2 linked regions of the Bombyx mori genome follow. The protein of the gene in region 1 purifies or fractionates together with the protein of each later gene. This does not show direct contact. Links are inferred from orthologs where the notes say so. Each region holds a gene or a part of one and is shown on either strand. Other genes may lie near its edges.

Region 1 (4,535 bases):
TGGTTCAATTCAACCCGATAAAGACACAAGTTTGCGCGTTCACTGCGAAGAAGGACCCCTTTGTCATGGCGCCGCAATTCCAAGGAGTATCCCTACAACCTTCCGAGAGTATTGGGATACTTTGGGTCGACATTTCGAGCGATGTCCAGTTTCGGAGTCATTTGGAAGGCAAAGCCAAGTTGGCGTCCAAAATGCTGGGAGTCCTCAACAGAGCCAAGCGGTACTTCACACCTGGACAAAGACTTTTGCTCTATAAAGCACAAGTCCGGCCTCGCGTGGAGTACTGCTCCCATCTCTGGGCCGGGGCTCCCAAATACCAGCTTCTTCCATTTAACTCCATACAGAAGAGAGCCGTTCGGATTGTCGATAATCCCATTCTCACGGATCGTTTGGAGCCTCTGGGTCTGCTGAGGGACTTCGGTTCCCTCTGTATTTTGTACCGCATGTTCCATGGGGAGTGCTCTGAGGAATTGTTCGAGATGATACCAACGTCTCGTTTTTACCATCGCACCGCCCGCCACCAGAGTAGAGTCCATCCATACTACTTGGAGCCACTGCGGTCATCCACAGTGCGTTTCCAGAGATCTTTTTTGCCACGTACCATCCGGCTATGGAATGAGCTCCCCTCCACGGTGTTTCCCGAGCGCTATGACATGTCTTTCTTCAAACGAGGCTTGTGGAGAGTATTAAGCGGTAGGCAGCGGCTTGGCTCTGCCCTTGGCATTGCTGAAGTCCATGGGCGACGGTAACCACTCACCATCAGGTGGGCTGTATGCTCGTCTGCCTACAACGGCAATAAAAAAAAAAAAAATACGAAAAATATTTTAATATCGCCATTGGCATTTATTTTTACTCTCTATTGATTATAGGTATTATATAAAAGTTTAATAATGCGTCAATACTGTACTTGACCTAAAAACTAATATCGAACTGCAGAATAGCAGAAATTATTGTTTTGTATTGAAATCCTACAATATTCCACAAGTGTGATGTTTGTTCGATGGCTTCGAGCATTGTGGTATTCGTTGAATGCCTTTAATTAGTTTCAAAACCTAATTACTTTGTATAGTATTAATTCATATTATTATTATGCAAGTAAACATGCATTCATGGAATTGAAAAAGTCATTGCGACATTGGTTTACTGTTTCGGAGTAACTATCATAATTCACGATTGATTACGCATATACAGGTAAACCTTAAAAAGTCGTAAAACAAAAAAAAATTGTAAAGGTCGTAAAACATGAGATCGAAATCTCATACGCATTATATTAAAAATCTCATACTGTACGTTAAGTTGAAGTCATTTTTTATGTATAGTTTTTTTATTTCTATCAAACAAAATGTGCACCCATGGTATCGGTTCATCCCTACCAGCGAAGTGCTAATTTTTAAATGCCATTCTTGACGCAATAGGACCAATGTTGTTGTGATACTAAAATTGAAAACAACTGCTAACTCTGCAGTAAATTGAGGATCGTCAGCTTCCACGATCGCCTTTAATTCGTCATTGTTGGCCTAAGTTTTCGTGCGAATACGGGTTTCATCAATTTCAATTGAGCAGTATTTTAAAACGGCAATTTCATAGGCAGATACCTATTACGAGTATAAAGGATGTAAGAATCCCTAGGGTTCAAATATTGCATAAATGTATTTTTGATTAATGCATGTTTCTACTGCATATGATAATTATTCCGGGTTCGACGAATCACGTTAGTCGGAAGAGAATATTGAAAACATATTATGCTGTCAACAAGATCTCTTTAAACCAGAAACATGTCAATGCTCTCTCTCCGGTGAATGTTCTAGATAAATTTTGATGTTTGCAATACAAATTCATGACTGTTGCACGTCACACCATAATAATATGCCGTTTCATGAATATATTTCATATTAATTTATGTTACAATAAATTGTTGGGTCAAACAAATTCTTACCGTCCATTGTTGTTGTATGATTGATCGTTTTTATCACTATATTGTCGTTAACCGATACTATATTTTATAACTCAGATTTATACCTTTAAAATTAGTTCCGTTACTTATTTATAATAGAGATTTGACATGGCTGGGCGTATGAATTATTGTGGTTTTGAAACCTCAAGGTTCCACCACCATCGTTTTGACTATTTCTGCCGCAAAACAGGTTAAAAAAAATCTAAAAAAAAAACATCATCCTATTGTCGGATTAGCATTGGCTTAATCGTATTATTTGCTTAACAGAAATATGTTTACTTTAAAAAGTATAGCAACAATAATAGGACTTTAATGATTCGAAATCTTTAATTTCTAATTAATAAAACATTACTTTATGATATAAGATTGTATAAAGTAATTACGCTAAACAAATAAACCGGTCTCTACTGGCTGTCAAGTGATAACAGAACAACTTCATTGACCACCGTTTCCCATTTATTATTACGAGTATGTATATTATGTTAAACAAAAACATCAAGAGCTCCCCAAAAAATAATCTAATTTAGATGTATATATTTGTTTCCAGTGATGCAGAAAGGTGAACTCACATCCTGCTACTATCGATTCCTGACGAAAGGTCAACAGTGGATTTGGCTTCAGACTCGTTTCTACATCACTTATCATCAATGGAACTCGAAACCGGAGTTTGTCGTATGCACTCATCGAGTTATTAGGTAAGTTTCGCAATTTACGTACTCAACCCGCTAAATTGTAATTTGCGTAATTAGTGGTATTAGGACCTCTTGTGAGTCCGCACGGGCAGGTACCATCGCCCCGCTTATTTCTGCCGTGAAGCAGTAATGCGTTTCATAAATAAAAAAAAATGTTAGTGATTCATCCAAATTTATTTTATCGCCTACATACTCTACTTGATATGCTCATGCACACGTAAACACGTGTTTTTGATAAAGTCGATTCACCGAAAGCCTTCTTTAAAAGTTTTCAGTGACTCCGAAAATAGAAATTTCATTGGCGTTGCAAAATTTAAGGCAAACTCTTTATTTTATGTTTTTGTCCATTATGAAATTTCCTAGAGTACGGTTGTATGGCTAGAGGTACAACCAGGCGGAAGCCTACTGTAATATGCTCTCCTCAAACCCGGTGTTTGAAGAAAGACTTCTCATAAGTTAACGCCACGAAGGAAAGCTTATTTCAAAATTTCATAGTATGTCATGGATATATATACTCAAATGATAGGAAATGCAGGAGAGGATGAAAAGTAATAGTGATGTGAAGATCTATTGACTGGTCCATTTCTCTTTAGACCAAACACTAAAAACAAAAAAAAAACATTTTTACTATTAGGTATTTGTCATAGAGAGAACTAATGCTAGATATGTTTTATTTGAAGACTGTTAAAAACTCAACAATGACGGTACAAGATAGACAAAACGTATCTGTGTATTTGTAACTATATGAATTTCAATGAGTATTGAGAAACGTTGCCTTTTTTTCTCCGTACATTTAGTATTCTAATTTCTGTGGATTATGTAAACAGTCAACTGTATTTGTTACACTAAGAATATGACGTAACACGAAGACAGATATTCCAGAAACAAACTACGATTTGTGCGTAGAGAATCATATCGACGCCTGAAAGACAAACATGACTAAGCGACAATGCGTGAACTTTACAGTAGACTAATTTATAGTTGAAATACCTGAAAAAAAATCTATTTTAACGAATCTAGCTATAGTATTGAAATTATTTTAATAGACCTAGAAATATATATTTTTTGCGCATCGAATATGGTTATTGCCCATCACTTATGTACAAAGCAGTTATTGTCGCTTAGTCACGTTTGCCTTTCAAGCGTCGATATGTACTGGGCTCGGTATTGTTGACACTAAAAAACTATTGTTCTTACTGATGATTAGTTGTGAGCGATCGAATTTGTATGTACAATTAATTCTATTTATATATTCACGCATTGCGAACACGGCTTACGTATATAAATTAAATGTAGACTAGTGGTCCCGCAGTAGTCGAAATTCGACTATAATTAACTAAAATTATAAGTTTGAACATTATTAAGGTTCTATTGTCAAAGACTATTATTATACTTCTATAATCACAGATTTCGACTACACTATAGACAAATCAATATAAAGACAAACAATATTAATATATTCTCAATTTGATCACATTATAAGCAATAACAAAAATTTGACAATAAACAAAGGGATAACAAAAGTTTGACAACAAACAAAGGGTATGTGTGTGTTGTGTCAAATACATGGTGGTCAATAGTGTGTGTAATATTTTTATGTATATTTTATGTATAATTTTTATATTGATCTAATGTATTATTAATGCATTTTTTTTTTTAAATATTAGCTTTCTGCACTCCTTGTCTATATTCTCTATAAGTGTGGAAAATTTCTTACTTCTCCTTTTTTGCTTCACGTATTAATATATAGATAGATATGTCTATTACGTCAAAACTTATAAAAACTAAAGTGAATGTAAATATAAATTATTATATTAAATAAGAACTGACCCGGCAAACGTCGTTTTGCCATATAAATTATTTCTAGGAAAGACAAATAACCTAGATAC
Region 2 (5,291 bases), on another chromosome or scaffold:
AATTAAATAACACTGCATTGATAATTTTGAATAAAAGTTCTAGACAAAAACATCATGAATAAACCAGATTCTTACCAACAAATTTAAAAAATATTGTTATAACTACATAGACAGCCCTACAAACCTGTACATATTTATAATTAGTTCGTTTCCATTTTACTTATTCTCATCCCAATTGACCCCTTTTTCGTTCTTATTTATACCTGACACGTCCCCAATATCCCCAAAAACAACAGATTTTTACATGTATTTTTATTTTATCAAAAACATTAAAACCAATAACAACTGATACTTAATGGTTCAAACTCTAAATAACGTTTATAAATCACAGTCGTCTTCTATTATTATCAGATAAATAAAAGAAATCAAAGTTTCTAACACTAAAATAATTACCACCACAAAAAGTTAATTTGAAATGTGATTTTTTATAAGTTAGCAGCTATTATCACACATATTCAGAGTTGTTTTGTGAACTTTCAACATTCTACTATTACACTACAAAAAATAGAAGATTTTGCAACGATTATAAAACTAATATTGAGCGTCGAAAGATTTTCTTGGTTTTTTCCCCATTCGCCTCTCAATCCCTAATCGCCCCATTTTACGGTACTAATATTCCTGCTAACAAAATATACTCATGAGTGTAAACAAAATTAGATTAAATAACCCATTTAGAGAGCTTGCTGATGGCTTTTGTGGAACTTCTGTTGTGAAAATGGTAAATTACGATTCTCTTCTTCTTTTTCTCAGCCGTGTCACTCTTGACAGAGTGGTTGTGATCGTCATGTAGTGTTGGAAGGGGCAGACTTGATAAAATATATTTTATTATACGATTATAAAATATATTTTAGCGACAGGTAAAGCGAATACAATAAGTTTTTTTGTTAAAATTGCAGTAATCGCGCGTAAACTCAAACGAAACAAGATGACGTTTACTAAGACGTGACGTCATTCGCTCTGATTAGTGTTTAAGGTTTCAGCTATCATGGCTGATTGTTGTATTTTGTTGATTTATTTTAACAAACAACAAGAGGAATTGTTCGAGACGATACCGGCATCTCGTTTTTACCATCGCACCGCCCGCCACCGGAGTAGAGTTCATCCATACTACCTGGAGCCACTGCGGTCATCCACAGTGCGTTTCCAGAGATCTTTTTTGCCACGTACCATCCGGCTATGGAATGAGCGCCCCTCCACGGTGTTTCCCGAGCGCTATGACATGTCCTTTTTCAAACGAGGCTTGTGGAGAGTATTAAGCGGTAGGCAGCGGCTTGGCTCTGCCCCTGGCATTGCTGAAGTCCATGGGCGACGGTAACCACTCACCATCAGGTGGGCCGTATGCTCGTATTCCTACAAGGGCAATAAAAAAAAAAACAAACAAACAAATCATAAATCTCGTCATTAATATACCTAAACACATTTTTCAAAATCTAGGAATCCTGTTTCATTAGATCAGTTATATATTTTAGCGATACTTGACTACTGTCATCATGCCTATTCGTCGAAACCCCATTAGGAAGCAAAAAAAAACTTGTGATTCAGAGATGAATCTGTTGATGTGTGTAGCTTTAAATCACAAGCATCGTACATATCGTTCATGAAGAACCTTGTATACTCGATGTTTTAGGTTTAAAATCGATGCATATGAACGATACATCGATGTTTGAGAAATCTTAAATAAAGAAAGAGACCAAAAATGTTACGCTGATTTAATATTAAGCTATAACATAAATAAACTTAGAGCTACAAATAGGATTGTTTCGATCACGAACAAGATGTTTAAATTATATAAATCTTTCTAAAAGAGCGAATTTATTTATCGGTAACCAGTTCTTTATATCCTATCCAGAAAATATCTAGCACTGATTTCTAAATAGATCATTCTAATATAGTTTTTATATCGTTATATAGTTTTCAATCATATAGTTTTTTGCTAACAATCGTAGTTATTCATTAAAGGTTGACTGACACTTGATAATACTAAGGGCCTGGCCACAGCTACTGGCGGTGCGTTTTGCGGTGCGTTGCGAGGCGCGGCGGGCGGCGTGATTTGCGGGGGTATGCCACAGCTAGACTAGTTGCGACGGCGGCGGCGTCAGAGGTGGACGTATTTAGAAAGCCCTATCAAAATTCCCTTTCAAAAGTGGCACGATATTACCTTGAAATAAGTGCGTTCTTAGCTGAAGATATTATTCAATCAAGAATAGGAGCGCACCCAGTAAGAAAAAGAGAGAACTTGGCGAATTCCACCCTATTTATTAGGTATTATATTAGGAATATAAGAACTATCCCGATAAATAGATTATTAATAGATTCAACCTTCACAGATATTACCAGGTTCAAATCTAAATTTACCATACGTGTTAATTGCTGATAAAGCCTATCCTCTTAAAAATTATTTGATGCGCCCATATCCACCGGGTGGTTTAAATGCGGAACAAATAATTTTCGACAAAACATTATCCCGGACAAGTGTCACAATTCAGTACGCGTTTGGTATTCTAACTAATAAATTTCGTATTTTTACGAAAAGTGTACAGGCAAACAAAAAGCACGCGACATTGATTATAAAGGTTTCGTGCCTTAACAGAAAGTGATGGAGACAGAGATGCAGATTTTCAGCAGTTTATTTCCCAGTTTGGAGACTCCAATATTCACAATAGCGTACGCAGATCAAGACGGAATAATCGAGAAACGGTTCAAGCATCTAGAATACGAAATCAATTCAAATTTCAAATTTTATTTCAATAATCCTATCCAAGAGTATCTAGGAAACCATTAGTACCAGAAAATTGTTGTTTTATTTCATCCCACATTTTTTTTATAACATGCCTATATTTATGATGTGGATGTTTTGACATCCATATTTCTGGTCTACTCAGTATTTCACTAATGAATTGTTCCACATCCATTATATTTTATTAGCTCAACGCGCGGTAAAAACAAAATGATTTGTTTCGGTCGCGCGATGCCTCAATGCGTCCACCGACACCGCCGCGCGCGCCGCTCTGAGCTGTGGCCACCTCCATATTGTCTAGTACATTTGTTTCACTCGCACATGGCGCAGCTCGTCGCCGCCAGATGTCACGCACCTCTCACCGCGCCTCGCAACGCACCGCAAAACGCACCGCCAGTAGCTGTGGCATACTTCATAGGTTGTCTACCATTTGTTTTCGCCGCTCCCGCTTGCCGCGCCTCATGACGCACCGCAATTCGCACCGCTCTCGGCTGTGGCCAAGGGGTAAGCCTATTTATTTAAGCGGATTCGTTACCGCTTTCCTCCATCTTGCTTTCGGCAGATTCTACTAATCAGACAGTTCAGTTTTTTAAATGATTAAAAAAGGAGTTGTATATTTGATCGGAAATAGTTAACCCTTTTTTCAGTGTCATGTTTCGCCCAACTCTGGCCATAAGTATAAATATTGTGTACATTAAGACTACAAAATAATGTACTATAGCTAAAATAAAACTATAGCAATCTACGTACTACGTAGTACGTACGTCAAGCCGACTCAAGCCTGCCCTCAGGAGCACGTGCGTCGTACACGCGACTTCGTGAGCGTGACCTACTATTGGTTCGTCGAATAACGTTGTTTGTAGTCACGTGGGCTACTGTCGTATATTTCGTTTGTAATTTGTTTTGTATCCACATCCACAAGGAACAGTGCGAACCTTACCCAACGAAGGAGAAATACGTAATTAAAGCGTTCAGTGGTTAAAGTGTCTGTTTCGTTTGGGGTTTTCGTTCATATAGTTTTCCTAGTTAACATTACTAACTAAAATAACTTGTGTGAAATAAAATTTAAAATAATTATGGGATAAAGTGCAATAAACATATTTACGTAAGTATTTGGATTCTTAATTTTGAAACTTGTTATCCATAGCATTAGTATTTAATGAAAATGAAAAATATTACAAAAAATATGTTTCTAAATTGGATTTTAAAAAAGACAAAAGTTTTGTGTTGTATTCAGAAGTATTCTTCGTTGTGAAGTATTTTGAGAAGCAGTTCGCTTCTCCTTTTACAATTTCCGAATGAAACTAAATACCGCTCTACCGTATACCCTCGTCCCATCATCCGCATCCATAATATATGCCATCATTTAACTACACACATTGATTATGTGTTTTATTTGGAGTATAAAAAAGCGTGGGGAACACCGAGCCCTGTGGTACACCAGCATGTTATCGATGCAGCAGTCTCCGAGATCAATTTTGATACTCCGTCCAAGGAATTGATGATATGTACCAAGTTTCACATTAAGAAGCGTGTTAACGCGAAGTAACGATTTACTATAGACTTCAAGCGGCCATGGCATTATCAGATTAATCTTAGCAACGACGTCACTAATTTACTATAGGTACTAACTATGACCTCCCAGTCTCGAAGGAGAGTGTTATAGCAGAAGCGATAGCTATTGACCACTGAGTTTCTCGCCGGATCTTTTCAATGGATGAGGTGGACATTGGTGACAACTACGAAATTGGTACTTTTTGAAATACCATATTAATGCGGATCTCGATTCGGAGGCACACCTCTTTAGTACCTACACAGTATGGGCCTTCTTCTGCCGTTGTAGTATGCGCCAGACTGCTACCAGACTTACGCAGAGGCTATAAGGTCGGCAAAAAATATTCTTCGTAGCCTTCGATTCAGATCTCTGAGCCTGGATGCGAAATATGATTTGAATTTTTTTTTATTGCTGACTAGGCAGACGAGCATACGGCCCACCTGATGGTAAGTGGTTGCCGCCGCTCATGGACGTCAGCAATGCCAGGGGCAGAGTCAAGTCGCTGCCTAGCGTTTAATACTCTCCACAAGCCTCGCGTGAAGAAAAACATGTCATAGCGCTCAGTGAAGACCGGAAAGGGGAGTTCAGTACATATCCCATTCGTGTAACGCTTAGGCCCAGAATGGGGTTTCTCCTTTCTGCCTTTTCTCCGAACTGTCAGGATCCCGGCGTCTCCTAACATCATTCCATGCCGCGTATGCCGACTGCTTGAGGCGTGCAGCATCCTTACTAGCTTTATTATACCGAGGTTTTACTGCGACCCTCAACGGGCACCTCCGAAGAAGGAATGAATAATTAATTCCCTGAAGCACCACGCCTTTAAGTCGATCCGCACAGACGTCAGGATCATTGGAGGAAAAGTAGAGCCGCCTCCATGGGTAGGATGCGTAAAATTCACGGGTTCCACCCCAATCTGCTGACCTGTACCGCCCAAATCTTCGAAACCCGGTCGTCGTTCAACGACCAGGGCGAGAGAGTGGTATCGCAGAACGGATAAGC

The links. The genes of interacting proteins can lie anywhere in the genome.
Region 2: the proteins of circadian locomoter output cycles protein kaput (region 1) and timeless purify together in Drosophila melanogaster (affinity purification with western blotting, with the first as the bait; 4 studies listed by BioGRID). This does not show direct contact. The link is inferred for Bombyx mori from reciprocal best matches to the Drosophila melanogaster genes Clk and tim.

Annotation. Positions count from the first base shown.
Region 1 is NC_085107.1:11,774,032-11,778,566, reverse strand, and holds part of circadian locomoter output cycles protein kaput, read left to right. Parts: intron 1-2,501; coding exon 2,502-2,649; intron 2,650-4,535. UniProt on the Drosophila melanogaster protein: Circadian regulator that acts as a transcription factor and generates a rhythmic output with a period of about 24 hours. Oscillates in antiphase to the cycling observed for period (PER) and timeless (TIM).
Region 2 is NC_085110.1:8,682,171-8,687,461, forward strand, and holds the start of timeless, read left to right. Parts: upstream 1-1,996; 5' UTR 1,997-3,241; intron 3,242-5,291. UniProt on the Drosophila melanogaster protein: Required for the production of circadian rhythms. The biological cycle depends on the rhythmic formation and nuclear localization of the TIM-PER complex. Light induces the degradation of TIM, which promotes elimination of PER.